3 linked regions of the Drosophila melanogaster genome follow. The protein of the gene in region 1 interacts with the protein of each later gene in a pairwise test. Each region holds a gene or a part of one and is shown in the gene's direction. Other genes may lie near its edges.

Region 1 (4,063 bases):
TCACACGCTGCAGGCAGTCCGACTGGTACTTGCTCTTTAGCTTGTCCAGCTCTTTGATTACTATGTACGGAAGGTACAGCATGCTGCCCACCGTGCCCGGCAGCACCACATCGGTCAGTCTCTCCACGAACTTGTGGTTGTGTATGAGGACGTTGGTGTCCAGCACAAAGTACATGTAATCCTCAAGCCTTGGGGGCAGCTCCTCGGCATCGGCCGCCTGCAGCATCAATATAGTGTCGTCCTCTTCCTTAGCCTCATCCTGACCTTTCTGTGGCGCCTCCTCTTCAATGGACTCCGCCGGCAGCATCAATAGAGTGTCGTCCCCTTTCTTAGCCTCATCCTGATCATTCTGTGCCGCCTCCTCTTCAATAGACTCCTGCCATTCCATGGGCTCGACCTCCATATCGCTGGCCGTCGAGCCATCAAATGCACTTGGATTTGTGATGTTGCAGGCTTCTGGTTGTTTTTCTATCACCTCTTCGTTGATCTTGGCCACAATATTGTTGTTGCGCTCCTCATATAGCTGCTTCTGCTGCAGCGAAGCTCTTAACAGCATGAGACGCTGGTAGGCTAGGGAGACGATAAGGAGAACATGGGATATGAGTAACTATATGCACCGGGCACTCACCAGTTTGGGTACGTCCCGCCTTCAGGCGATTGGCATCGACCAGGGCTTTTGGCTTTTCCCAGGCATTCATCGCCACCTTAGGCGGAAACTTCAGGAGTCGCTGGGGCGTAGATGTGGACGCACTTGATCGACGAGATGCGGAGGAACTGTGGGTGATCCGCTTGGTGGTCCCCTGCTCCTTCTCGTTGTCCTGCACCCGCTTTAGTTGGCCCTGCAGGCGCTTGAGGCGGTCCTGGGCGGGATGCTGGCTCACTCCTTGCCATATTGCGTGGAAAAGTGGAGTTGAATCTTGGTTCTGGCATTCTGGCAAACGCGCAGTTTGCATGGGTTTTACCATTTGACGGACGTGGCGTGCTGATGATCCTAACCAGCTGGTCGTCGTCCAACGGCCTCAGATTGGAAGACTTTGGCGTGTGCTTACTTTCTCCACCGAGCGACATATTGTGTTCTTTAACATTTGATTTCTAGGAAGTACTCATTTATTTTGTATTTCAATAGGCAATCTGACTTAGAGGTGGAGAAACATCGATGACATCATCGATATCATCGATCTTTTCAAACAATCACAAGCATCGATGTTTTTCGAGGAATCATCGATGTTCTTCCATACATCGGAGGACAAAAGTATATAAATTGGGGGTATAAATTAAATTCGGATATAACTTTGTTATGATTTATTTAAAATACTCCTTATTTATATAAGCAATATTTTTTTTTAATTATTATTTATTAAGTGAAGTAATAAGAAATATTAAAAATGAAAATAATCTTAAATTAAACAGAAACAATGTTTTGTTTTTATTTAAAGCATAAATGTTTATGTTCAAATTAATTTAAGTTATAAACCATAAAATAAATTAAATGAGTATATGTAATTCTACGGCATACATTTTGGCGTGGAAGCTAAATACGAATTCATACAATGAATAGCTTATAACTAAAATTTACTGTAATAATCTATAGCATAAGTTGTTTTAAGCCATTGAATTTGAATAGCTAAAGATTTCATTTATAAAGACTTGAATGCTGCCACCTTAATTGTTGCAAAAACATGTTCTTGAAATAATAAGTTGCCAAGTTAGTTAGCTTGCCAAATAAAATCTTCACTGTTTGCCTGCTCGAGGTAATTTATATTTAAAAGTTCTTTCAAAATCTTGCAAATTAATTGCTTGGTAATAAACAAATTGATTTAAATTTAAATTTAAAAAAAAACTCAAAATTTAAAAGCTAAGCCAATGATAGGAGCCCCCTAACCGGTAGGCAGTATTTTCAAGCGGCGCACATACGGTCACACTGCACGGTTTCGAATCGCTTAACAAGTTTTTGCTTAAAAAGCTTTGCCGAGCACTAAGTAACCACCGCCTTTCGCACCCACAACACAACGCCACCAGCCAGAACAATGATCAAGGTACGTGGGGTGCTGTAAATAAGGATCACACTGCGATTAGACGGGAATTAGTGCAGCAAAAGCGGCCGATGACTGCGCGGCCGGGGTGCAAAGTCCAATTGGGATGTGAACTCGTGTCTATTATAAACATGGAGTCCCATAAATAACTGTATCTCTGCCCACAGCGATGTACCTTGTACCCAGCCAACAATTAGCATTACTTCCCCACCGAGTTATACAATAATACAATGCGGCTTATCGGGAAACTGGACACCGAACGCATCGGTCAGCTGCTTTCGAAATAATAAGATAAACCGGCATCGGATTATAAGTTTATCTGCAAATTGAGGATCGTGCTATTTCTATACTAACTTTAACGGACAACTTCTCAATGTTGTTAAAGATAAGGATCTCAGTCCTACAGATCGTATATTTTGCATTCTATATGCTTATTCTGTTAAGATCTCTAAACATTGATGTTGTAGTTGGGATGAAATGGAATGGAGTGCATTTTTAGAATCTATTTCCTTGGATATATACATATATATATAGTTTCTAACCCCATGCCTTTCCCACCCCCAGAACGCCGTTTCCCTGGTGACCGGAGGAGCCTCTGGACTGGGCCGCGCCACCGCCGAGCGCCTGGCCAAGCAGGGCGCCAGCGTGATCCTGGCCGATCTGCCCTCCTCCAAGGGCAACGAGGTGGCCAAGGAGCTGGGCGACAAGGTGGTCTTCGTGCCCGTGGACGTGACCTCCGAGAAGGATGTGAGCGCCGCTCTGCAGACGGCCAAGGATAAGTTCGGTCGTCTGGATCTGACTGTGAACTGTGCGGGCACAGCCACCGCGGTAAAGACGTTCAACTTCAACAAGAACGTGGCGCACCGCCTGGAAGACTTCCAGCGGGTGATCAACATCAATACCGTGGGCACGTTCAATGTGATCCGTCTGTCCGCCGGACTGATGGGCGCCAATGAGCCCAATCAGGATGGACAGCGCGGCGTGATCGTGAACACCGCCTCGGTGGCTGCCTTTGATGGCCAGATCGGCCAGGCGGCCTACTCCGCCTCCAAGGCAGCCGTGGTGGGCATGACCCTGCCCATTGCCCGTGACTTGAGCACCCAGGGCATACGTATCTGCACCATTGCACCGGGTTTGTTCAACACGCCTATGCTGGCCGCCCTGCCGGAGAAGGTGCGCACCTTCCTGGCCAAGTCCATACCGTTCCCGCAGCGCCTGGGCGAGCCCAGTGAGTACGCCCACCTGGTGCAGGCCATCTACGAGAATCCGCTGCTCAACGGCGAGGTCATCCGTATCGACGGTGCTCTGCGCATGATGCCCTAGATCCGGCTGAGCACTGTCTTGGACCTGTGGAAGTGGCTCGATCAGTTTGCATTTATCTATTGTCTAGTGGTTAAGCTGAAAAGTTTTATTATCTGTCCCGAAATTATGTAATAATTGCTATTAAACACACAATGTCACATTTCAAATTTTGGAGGCGCGTCTGCCTGCTGTTCTTCAACACTGGTTATATATAAGGGATAGCTGGGGTGTATTGGCTGCACAGGTCGTTGCAACAGGTGGATTAATTTTTTGTAAGTCAATTTTATTACTGACTTACTATTTGTGCAATTAATTCTTAAGCAACCATGTATTTATAATAAGAAAATAGTTTACTATCATATTTACAAAGTTGGTCTGAGCTTAAATATTTATTGAATAAAAGGGTATTTCTAAGTCGCTAGCCCTTAAGATTTCCCTGTTGTTCCCGCAAGTTGGCAGTTCCGTTTCAAAATGTAAACAACGAACATTTGAAAATCGCTCTTCAGAAGATAATGCCATATCAGCGCTGCTGAGCCGGGAACTTCGTAGGGCAGCTGGCGGGGATCAGGAGAATGTACCCCCTGTCCAGCAAACGGATCGCTTGGGAACACAAGACGCAGAGCAATTTAAGTGGAAGGAATCCCCGGCAGGAGATGATGCACTGGTGGTCAATGAGGATGCATTTTAAGTGAAGAAGAACGAAATGGACACTGTGCTGGACTGTCTAT
Region 2 (5,240 bases), on another chromosome or scaffold:
CTCCTAAATCAAACTTTCTTTTCCGCTTGCAAAAACATGACCAATCTCTTGATTACTTTTCGACTTAAGCTTCCTCTTCTCAGACTAAACCCAAATCGATCAGTTTATCGCATCCACTCTCAAGCTTTCAAAACTTATCCACATTCAATTTACTAAAACACTTTGCCGTAATCTCTATTTCAGATCCAGCTCCAGTTAGCAGACCGTTACACAAAAGCACTAACACAAAACACTTGGCAGAGCAGCTCTCCTTACGTTTAACTTTAATTACTCAATTATTTGCCAGATTTTGTTGTTTTTCACTTCTTAAGTTGGAAATTAGCCGCGAAGTACGCAGACCTAAAACGTTGGCCAACTGATTAGAGCGAGCGAGAGGCGGCGAGGGGCACAACAACGATCATATCGGATCGGATCTCGGATCGAATGGGAATCAACTATATATCGGACTACTACAGCGCGCGTGTGCGAACGCGCTACGAACCAAACTCAAACTGACGACCGAACTTCACTCCACAGAAATCCACGAGCGAGCAAACACAGCAAATACAAAAGCACAAGCAAAAGCAAAGACGGCGGCAAACAAAAAGAAAGAAGCACAAAGACAATCGAAAGACAGACTCAAAGCTTAGCGAAAGAGTCCGTTGAAGTTCTTTTGGTAAGAACCACAAAAAAGGCGGAAAGGCTTAAATAATCCTTGAACTTAATAATAACCTACATAATATAAATATCCAAGTGTATATTATCAGTCACTTTTGTTCGTTTTGTAACAATAGTCGTACATAGTGGCCTTTGGAAATACATACATAAACTTTATCAACGCGGTCTCATTGAATTATTTTTCTTATTTTAAATGTCTTTTAATTGTATATATTTTCTTATTATACTCAGTGGGAGACTGTTGATCACCTGTGCCGAAAAAAACGTATCTATAATAGAAAATGGGAGATGCTTAGATTGTAGGAAGGAAAATACGGAAATGTGTCGGATTAAAGAGACAGGATTCAGTTGTTATGAAGGAAACTTTTATAGGCGATTGGGTCGTCTACAAGGTGAATTCCCAAAAACAACCAATAAAGAGGGTGTTTGCGTTCCACCCGGACTGCATATCGGTATAAGAAGCATTTGAATAGTAATAAAAGACTAATTTTTTAATTTTACAGATACTATGAATGCCAAAGTCTGCTGCGTTTGGTCACCAGAAATCGGTTGTCAAATCTTATTAACTGAAGATCACCAGGGTGAATTTTGCTTCACTTGCAGAGTGAAATATAAAATGGAATACAAAGGCCTAATTTCCTGTCCGTGCGTAAAAAGTGAAGGATTGGGCCAACCCCATGTGAAATCATGGCAGAACTTTATTTTCACATATTTACTCATAAAATTATCCAGTTTTACCATGGGGCTATAACTTATAAATTTAAAATGTACATATAATTGAAAATTGTTATATATTTTACAGAGAGTTCTAAATACAATAAAGCTTTAGATTAAAATTTGTTTTATTGTGTAAAAATAGAAAACAAATCACAAATACTATGCAAAAATATGAGGATTTTACAAATGAATTTATTATTTTTTCAAAATATTTACAACTAATGTTATCAATATGAAATTAATATTAATAATTAATATTTTATTCACAACGAAGGCAATGGCATTAAAATAATCTCACCTGATACCTCGTATGCAGATGGTTCGAGTCCACGCTCAGGCGCCACCAAAGTTTTGCACCAAGGTTGCAGTCCATAGCCGAAGATTTTGACATGAGTGTGGCCAACTATCCTCAATCCGCTAGTTACACCTCTCCACGGCAAAACCATTAAGGCGTTTTGGTATTCGTGAGAAATCGCTGCACCTCCGTGAGCCCCCCCTCATTCTTTGAATCCTCGCCAACGAGCCGCTAACGTTGCTGACGAATAGTAAGTGCGAAAATTCCGAGCGAAAATTGCATAAGTTTTGTAAAATCGAAATCAAAGTAGCCGAGCGGTGCTCTATCGCTCCCTTAACATACACTAAATTTACGTGGTTGCTTAAAATCCTTCGCTTTTCGGGTAAATTTGGTGTCGTAAGTCCGGGTGCTCGGAATTCGAGGCACGCCGTTATGTAACCTACAAAAGCGAAAAGCAGCTGATTACCCAGCTATATATATAATTAGATAAAGCACATGTCGCCTCCGAGGTACATATATACGTAACTAATGGATGGTCTCTCTACTTTCAGCCGACCCCAGAACAAGAACAGAATCAAGATGTTCTCCAGCTTCTTTGAAACTGCCCGGAACTCGCCATTCCGCACCCCCATGTCGATGGCAAGATGCGATGCCGCCGCCCCAGTGGTGGAACCCCAGCCGGTTGAGGGTCGCCAGATCGCCGCCGCCGCTACCCCGGTGGCCAACCAGCAGGATTCGTGCGAATTCGGCAGCACCAAGTACTTCGCTCTGTGCGGAATTGGTGGCATTCTCAGCTGCGGCACCACCCACACCTTCGTGGTCCCACTGGATCTGGTGAAGTGCCGTCTGCAGGTCGACCAGGCCAAGTACAAGAATCTGGTGCACGGATTCAAGGTCACCGTGGCGGAGGAGGGCGCCCGCGGACTGGCTAAGGGCTGGTTCCCCACTCTGCTCGGCTACTCGGCACAGGTGAGATTGGGCTTCACTTTATGGGTTGCATAATCGTCTGGAGGCGAATTATATGCTCGTGACCAGGTCGGCTGACCTTAATTACATCGGTTCCGGGCTTGAAGCAGATAAAAGTGATTCGAATCGAACATTAGGAAGTTTGATTCCTAGGCTGATATCTTAGTATACCTCAGAATAACAACACACCTTTGACAACTTTATGGTTACGGGAGAAACAGATACCGAAGATAAAATCTTGGATACTACTGCAAACTGAAAAATAACTTCTGAGAAACAGCAGGCTAATCCGCGTTTCTGTATCTTTCAGGGTCTGTGCAAGTTCGGTCTGTACGAGTTGTTCAAGGTGAAGTACGCCGAAATCATTGGCGAGGAGAACGCCTACCTGTACCGCACCTCCTTGTATCTGGCTGCTTCCGCTTCGGCCGAGTTCTTCGCCGATATCGCTCTGGCGCCGTTCGAGGCCGCCAAGGTGAAGATCCAGACTATTCCCGGATACGCCAACAACTTCCGCGAGGCAGTGCCCAAGATGCTAAAGGAGGAGGGCGTCAATGCCTTCTACAAGGGTCTGGTTCCCCTGTGGATGCGACAGATCCCATACACCATGATGAAGTTCGCTTGCTTCGAGCGCACCGTGGAGCTGCTCTACAAGTAAGTAACATTTCCTCTTTAGGTATCCTCTAGTTTCTACAGCGGAAAAACTTACCAGTGCTGTGCACAATATCTGTATTCGTATTAGCGTTTTGCTATTACAATAGTTTAAAGGTAGACTGTTAATCTGTGAAATTTCAAAAGTGATATGCTAATTGATCAAAACTGAAAGTATTCATAATAAAATAAACTTTTAGCGCGTCAGCAGATAAGAATGCCATTCGTATCTAATAAATGGCACGCCAGAATAAAAACCAACGACGAATGCTTATCTTGTTCAAATATAGGAAAATCATATTATTTCAGAACTAGTTTGTTACTATGGATAAAATAAAAAAAGCAAAGCATTCCTTTTGAAGTGCAAATTAGCAGGTAGCCACTGAAAGTTCAAATGTAAAAACTAGAGCAATACCGTTCACAGTTCGGGTTGTCAAGCCCCAACGAACCCCGTTAAATCAATACTAATGATGCAACTTTTCCCAGGTATGTGGTGCCCAAGCCTCGTGCCGACTGCACCAAGGGCGAGCAGCTGATCGTGACCTTCGCCGCTGGCTACATCGCCGGTGTGTTCTGTGCCGTGGTGTCGCATCCCGCTGATGTGGTGGTGTCCAAGCTGAACCAGGCCAAGGGAGCTAGCGCCATCAGCGTGGCCAAGTCGCTGGGCTTCAGTGGCATGTGGAACGGATTGACTCCTCGTATTATCATGATCGGTACCCTGACCGCTCTGCAGTGGTTCATCTACGATGGTGTGAAGGTCGCCCTGGGCATTCCCCGCCCACCACCACCAGAGATGCCAGCTAGCCTGAAGGCCAAGCAGCATTAAGTGGGCTAGTCCAATTGGTTACCTTAAGGACAGAGTTCACTAGTTGGAGCGATTGTGGGCAGACACAGGAGCAACATACTTTTACTTTCTAACGAATTTCGGTTTCAGTATAGCGAAAATGCTTTATACTTGTTTCTCAGCAAGAATACATTAATGTTGCGTGTGTGCCATTGCACATGTACATTCCAAAACAACACTTTACGCATTTCTCTAACACAGCACTTATACACACTTTTTTATAAACACATCTTTCTAACTTTAAAAGCCAAACATTCTATCGTACGAAACTAAGCTACACTCAAGTTCAAAGTATTCAATTCCATATATATTCTGTTATACTATGTGCTATATTTAATCCTATGTGTGTCTAGCTTTCGCTGGAAAGTATGTCCGTATGTTGTACCTTTGATGGCCAGCCCCTTGTTATCTCCTCTCCGCTGCCCCCACAGGCCACACATGCGAATATGATATTAATGCTGTTTCAATTGTCTGACCCGATACCCAAGAAAGCACTCTGAATAAATTAAATTATAAAATATAAAAAACTCTACCAAGCTGCGTTTTCTAATCTTGTCTATCTATTGGGAACTGGTTATTATAGATTGTGGCTGTGATCACATTAGAACGATCGTGGGGATAACCTTATGACCTTATGATTTCCCTGACATTGAAAATGGGGTTTTATGGCGCTATAACTAACTAGCATTGTGAGGTAACCAAACAAGAGATCACGAATGCTGATTGCTTTAAAGGAAAACGGCTAATTTCGGTTTTGTTTAATCGTAATCAGCTGCCAATTGTCTGCGAGAATTTTTATGTGTTGCACAAAATGTCGATTTAAGATGTTTGAGCTAATCTATTATAATTAATATTTTAACACAATGAGCGATTTTTACATATTTAATTTTTAATAACCCACTCGATACTGTTGTAATATTTGTTTGATGCTTCTATAGAATTCGAATGCAAATCTTCATCTCAATTAAATTTATTAAAAAAAGGTTTGGACGTCTTGGCTAAATAAGAAGAACTACAGTATTTTTTCCAAAAATATTTATTTTGTTTATGAGCATTGAGCTGAATAAGACATTACAGTGGCTCGTTGTGTCATAAGTCCAGTAAAAACTAAAT
Region 3 (5,002 bases), on another chromosome or scaffold:
TGCAACACGAGTAGTTTCCGTGGATGGAAAAATCTTTTTTCCTCCTCCGAATCGCTGGAAACTCACCTGCCAAAGGAAGAGGCGTTAGAAGCCGAGTGCCACGCCTTCTCTCTGGCGTCCAAAACGAATCCCAGACTCATCTATTATGAAGTAGGTAATTCCACTAAAACGAACCAACCAAGAAAAGCGCCGAAAATGTAGAGGGAGTGGAAAATAAACACAATCAAAGAGGACAAAACAAAATTTAAGCGCAAAATGAAATGAAATTCGGATTGGAAATGAAACTAAAATACAAACTAATGATGGAGGAACGTAGTGGGGCCGCAATCCAGGAGCCTGTGGGTGGCAAAGGAAGTAAGCTAACAATAGACAAAGTCATAAATCAGGGCGCCAATTTGCAGGCCTGACAGGCTACCCCCAAATGAAAGGAGCGGCAGGCGAGGGGAGAGCGTAGGAGAGCCAGAAGAAACTGAATAGTTATCCTGCACGCCCAAAATGCCAAATTCAGAACACTTTAAAAAATATATTCTCAAATGATGATCAAGTTTTTACAATTGGATTATGATAATAAAATAGAAAGCAGTTGCAAAATATTATAAAAAATATTACATGTTTTTTTTAGAATTTGAAGAGCATCTACTCATACTATTTCAAAGATTGTAAAGCAAAGTATTTTATTTCGCTTGATATTTATATAATGTTTTACCTAGGAATAAGAACATTTCAGGTAAGATTTGTGATGGAATTACGGCAGTGCATAAAAGGGGAAGAATAGGGACTGCGGAAGGCCACAAATTCATTTCGTAATTGTGGCCAAAGAGCCATGTGGCAAGAAGGGGGGGTGGGGTTGAGAGAGGGGTCAGAGGTCGAGGGGCGAAGGACAGCTAGAGGAACCCATTCAGGCAAACAATAATAAATGGGATCCAAGATGGCGTCACTGGGATTGGGAATTGCTATTATACGGGGTGTTTTCTTCTTTGGGGGAGGAAACAGAAAAGCCATAACAATGATGCTCCATAATAAATTAACTGAAATTCACTTAGTTATTTATTTTTTGCCCAAGATGAGAGATTAATCTAAATAAATTGAGTTGTCAAGTGGGGCACAAAGAAAAGAAAAAGTTCGTGGGGGGTGGGGAGGGGTAAAAAATGATATGCCAAATAAATACCAACGGTGAGTAATCGTTTTCTTATTGTTACTGCTGTAGTATCCTCTTCCTCTTCCCCGAAGAGCACCAAAGCGATTCCCCGAAGAAGGCGATTCTTCTTCCCGTATCGCCCATTTCTTCCCGCATCCCCCACCCCCCTGCCCCACACACATTCACCACACTTAACGATGAAAATCCAATTTAAGGCTGCCTCAGTTGTTTGCGCTCTCCTTCCCCCCCTTGGGGCTAGTCCCGTCTCTTTCGCTCGCTCTCTCCTTGCCACCTAAATAAAGTGTAATAAAATAAAGTAGATAGGGATAAGAGTAGATAGGGATATTAGGAACACGAGAGCCCCTTCAACGTTTCTGTTTTTGTTTTTGCAGCTCTCCATGCCGAAAATTCAATTTCCACAATGAAAATGCGCGAGAAAATTGTCTTACATGCCGGAGAAAGAGCAAAAGAGAGAGGGAGTGAGGGGGTTGGGTGAGCGAGCGAGATGGGTATATGTCTCGAAACAACTGCGCTTTGGTTTGCTGGCTGCGCGGCGCATGCGCGAGCGAAAATAACGGGAAATGGCAAAGGCGGCGCTTAGGGGCATCATCCCCATTCCTCCTCCTCCATCTCTTTCCCACCCGCAGCCATCTTTCTGCCGGCGCAGATCTAATTTGCAGCCGACTGCGCTGTCGACGTTGCGACTGCGGCAAGCACCGTTAGATCATTCGCATTCTGACGTTTCACGCGGTCGGTTGAACACTATCCACACTACTATATATATGTCATATAGATCTTACTAAATCCCCCGAAAAAATACGTATTACCCGTCTGGATTAAATGACAATTTTTTAATCTCTAAAAGGAAACTTTTCCGTCGGCAAAACGGTGCTGCGAACAAGGCTGGAAAAACTCAAAACTCCTCATAGACATCCAGCTCCTTCAAGTGCTAAACCTACGTGTGTGTTTGTTCTTAACCCAAAACTAACTACTCTTTGCGGCCTATTACCTCTGAGATTGAGCGTGTAATTTGTAGAGGAATCCTTAACATTGCCCAACTTCCTTTGTGATTCGCCCACGTATCCTTGTTGAAAACTTTTTGCAAAACTTCCTGGCAAGTGTTTAGACTTGTTTAGCTCGGGGAAACTTTCGCACCTTTGTCTTGCGTGTTCGTTCGTTCTGTGAAAATTGCGAAAAAGTTAAACTCAAACAGAGCTCAGCGCCAAAAAGTCAAAAAAACAAGAGCGACAAGGGATTTTCTTCTGTCACACGCTTGAAGTATTGCTGCCAAAATTTTCACGGACGGTAATAAGGTAATATCTCTTATGCACTCATTTGATTTATAACAAAGTCGGAAATTCCTTTAGAAAAGAATTATTATTAACGGGTTTTGGAACGTTATGATCGAATTGTTTGTTATCCTCAAGCAACTGATTCAAAAGATAATCCTCAACTTCCCATTCAAATCGCAGCACACCGTGCGCTCATAATTTATTTAGACGCTTTTAATTTGCATTAAGGAAATTTCCTAATGAGTTTCAGTGTGATAAGAATCTCGGCCTTCGAGAGTCCGGAGTCCTGGAGTGTGTGTTTTTGTGAGCCAGACCCGAAGTGTCTGGCAAAAGTGTTTGTGCCGATGCCTTTCCTGTGAGAAATCGCACAAAACTCGTCAAGCACTTGAAGTGCAAATGTGAAAGAAGCGTGGATTGGAGGCGAAAAAAGAATTAAAACCAAAATTGGTGTATGCATAAAGGATTCGGCAGCAAGGATCCAAAAGGAGATTGCCCCCGAAAACAGCAAGGGATGGGGTATTTCGGTTGAAAACTCGCCGCTTAATTGAAGACAGACCAAAAGTTGATCACTCCGCAAATGCAGTTTGAATAATTGATGGTAATTAAGAGAGGGAAAAAAAGAGGAGACAGCTCGTGGATTCCGATTCTCCATGTGCGCAACGGAGATGGAGCAAGGGTACAAAATCAATGGCAAATAATTCGCCAAAGAGCAAACCAAACAAAAAAAAAAAGAAGTGGGGAAAACGAAGTTTCAAATTAAATTGATCAACCGCAAATTAATTGGCAGCCATGCAAACGTTCAACGCTCCACTGGATGCCACGCCCACGCAAGAGGGCGGTGGGTGGCACACAGGGTTGGGAAGTCTGACTGGATGGATCCACATAGGAGTCAATTGGAGTTGACGAACGGTTTTTCCATTCGTCGCCAAGTTTTGTTCGATTCGTTCAACTCAATTAGGGAAGCATGGGTGCAAAAAAGGGGCAGTGAAATGGGCGCTGAATGGGGGGGTTAAAAAGGGGGCTGGTGCGATAGGGCCGCATACAAATAAAATACAATTTGGCATATTTAAATTAGCAAATGGAATTACCGCAGAGAACGTTAGTCGAAGGAGGTTAGTTCGGCCATGTTTATTGATTGCTTGATTGAATTGGGCAACGAATTGGTGAATGCTCCAAATTGATGGATAGATTGGAGTCCACACATTCTCGCCGAGGCTTTCCATATGCAAATGAGACATGTCACCGTACCACTAGTTTCAAAAAGATATTTAACCATCTAAATATTAACTTATTGTAATATATTAATATATTTATAATGAATAATTCGACAATTAGAACTGATTATCTGTATATAGCATATTCATTTGATTTCGTCATCACACTCTTAGCAAATTTCATAGCCCACTTTAATTCATCCCCTGTGTTTCTCAATCACTTAACGACCCCCCACAAAGCTTAATAAATATATGGTGCCAACACCTCCCATACCCTAACCAACTGAAATGCACAAAACAATTTGCTTTAATTAAACAGAAAATTCAATCAAAATATTTATAAAACAAGAAGACCAAGTCAGTAGGGGTGATCAACGGATTTTCCTCCCCATGCGGGCGCCCCGAAGATGACGATATACCATACATATATGTATTTATGTATGTATATCAAGTATATATAATTGAAAGGGTTAGCTTTCGGAATCGGCTCTGTTTGGCTTTCGAGTTTGTATAAGCTGGCGGCACTTGGACACGAAAAACTGGCGGGGGTGCAACACGGCTGCCTAATTCAATTTACGCTCATTTTTTGCAGTGCAGCATTCGGGCGCTGATTCGCTGGTGGGTGGCTCTCCGGCCAAATGCACTGCATCATTTCGGTCCGATTTACACTGAGGCTCTGATTCCCTGATTCTAGGCGCGAGCCAATTGACACAATCAAATTCGAACCTCGCAAATTCGCTTAATGCGCCGCGAGACAAAAACAAGAGCAGCAAAAAAATATGCAAAAAAAAAAAGGAAAACGCTCAACCAAAACTGCAATCAAGAGGGATACTTAGATGGGGGCATATGCAAATGGTTTGGCTAGACAGTGGAGATTCCAAAAACATGAAAGTGTAACAACTTGTATGTATTTCATTTAAATATTAGATAGATCATTGAGTAGATAGATCATAACTCTCAGCTACTGTGATATGAATATTATATTGAAAAATCCTTTCCGCACCTGGAAGCTCTACTGTATCCATCATATCACAGCCCACTCCAAGTTGGATCATCAGTGGCAGACTGCGCCAGTTTAGTTTGATTACGCCGGCCGGACAGGCAGACATTTCTAAAAACGGATGCACTTTACTTCGGTGGCAAAAGTGATAACCTCATCGCTGGACGGCCAGTTTACCGCCACCCACTTCCACCTCCTCCTCCTCCTCCCATTACCATATCATCTCACCTCAGTGGGAAATTATCGCGCTCTCGGTTTGGGGCAACAACAAAAACAAAAAAAACTAGGAAAACTAGAGCTAAACGAGTGTGTGGGTGGGCGGTAGGCAATTTCGCAAATGCGTTTAAGTGGCTCTAAT

The links.
Region 2: the proteins of scu (region 1) and Mpcp2 interact in a two-hybrid assay, tested with the Drosophila melanogaster proteins (one large-scale study listed by BioGRID).
Region 3: the proteins of scu (region 1) and Drgx interact in a two-hybrid assay, tested with the Drosophila melanogaster proteins (one large-scale study listed by BioGRID).

What each region holds. Positions count from the first base shown.
Region 1 is NC_004354.4:18,089,355-18,093,417, forward strand, and holds scu (scully), read left to right. Parts: upstream 1-1,904; 5' UTR 1,905-2,027; coding exon 2,028-2,036; intron 2,037-2,200; exon of another isoform or gene 2,201-2,300; intron 2,301-2,597; coding exon 2,598-3,356; 3' UTR 3,357-3,499; downstream 3,500-4,063. Other genes in the region: Swt1 RNA endoribonuclease, read right to left, coding at 1-570, 629-883, 963-1,068. UniProt on the Drosophila melanogaster protein: Mitochondrial dehydrogenase involved in pathways of fatty acid, and steroid metabolism.
Region 2 is NT_037436.4:14,535,784-14,541,023, forward strand, and holds Mpcp2 (mitochondrial phosphate carrier protein 2), read left to right. Parts: upstream 1-1,867; 5' UTR 1,868-1,919; intron 1,920-1,942; exon of another isoform or gene 1,943-2,065; intron 2,066-2,220; 5' UTR 2,221-2,248; coding exon 2,249-2,638; intron 2,639-2,945; coding exon 2,946-3,286; intron 3,287-3,769; coding exon 3,770-4,109; 3' UTR 4,110-4,658; downstream 4,659-5,240. Other genes in the region: CG43246 (uncharacterized protein), read left to right, coding at 851-1,109, 1,161-1,408.
Region 3 is NT_033779.5:3,660,856-3,665,857, forward strand, and holds the start of Drgx (dorsal root ganglia homeobox), read left to right. Parts: upstream 1-1,889; 5' UTR 1,890-2,451; intron 2,452-5,002.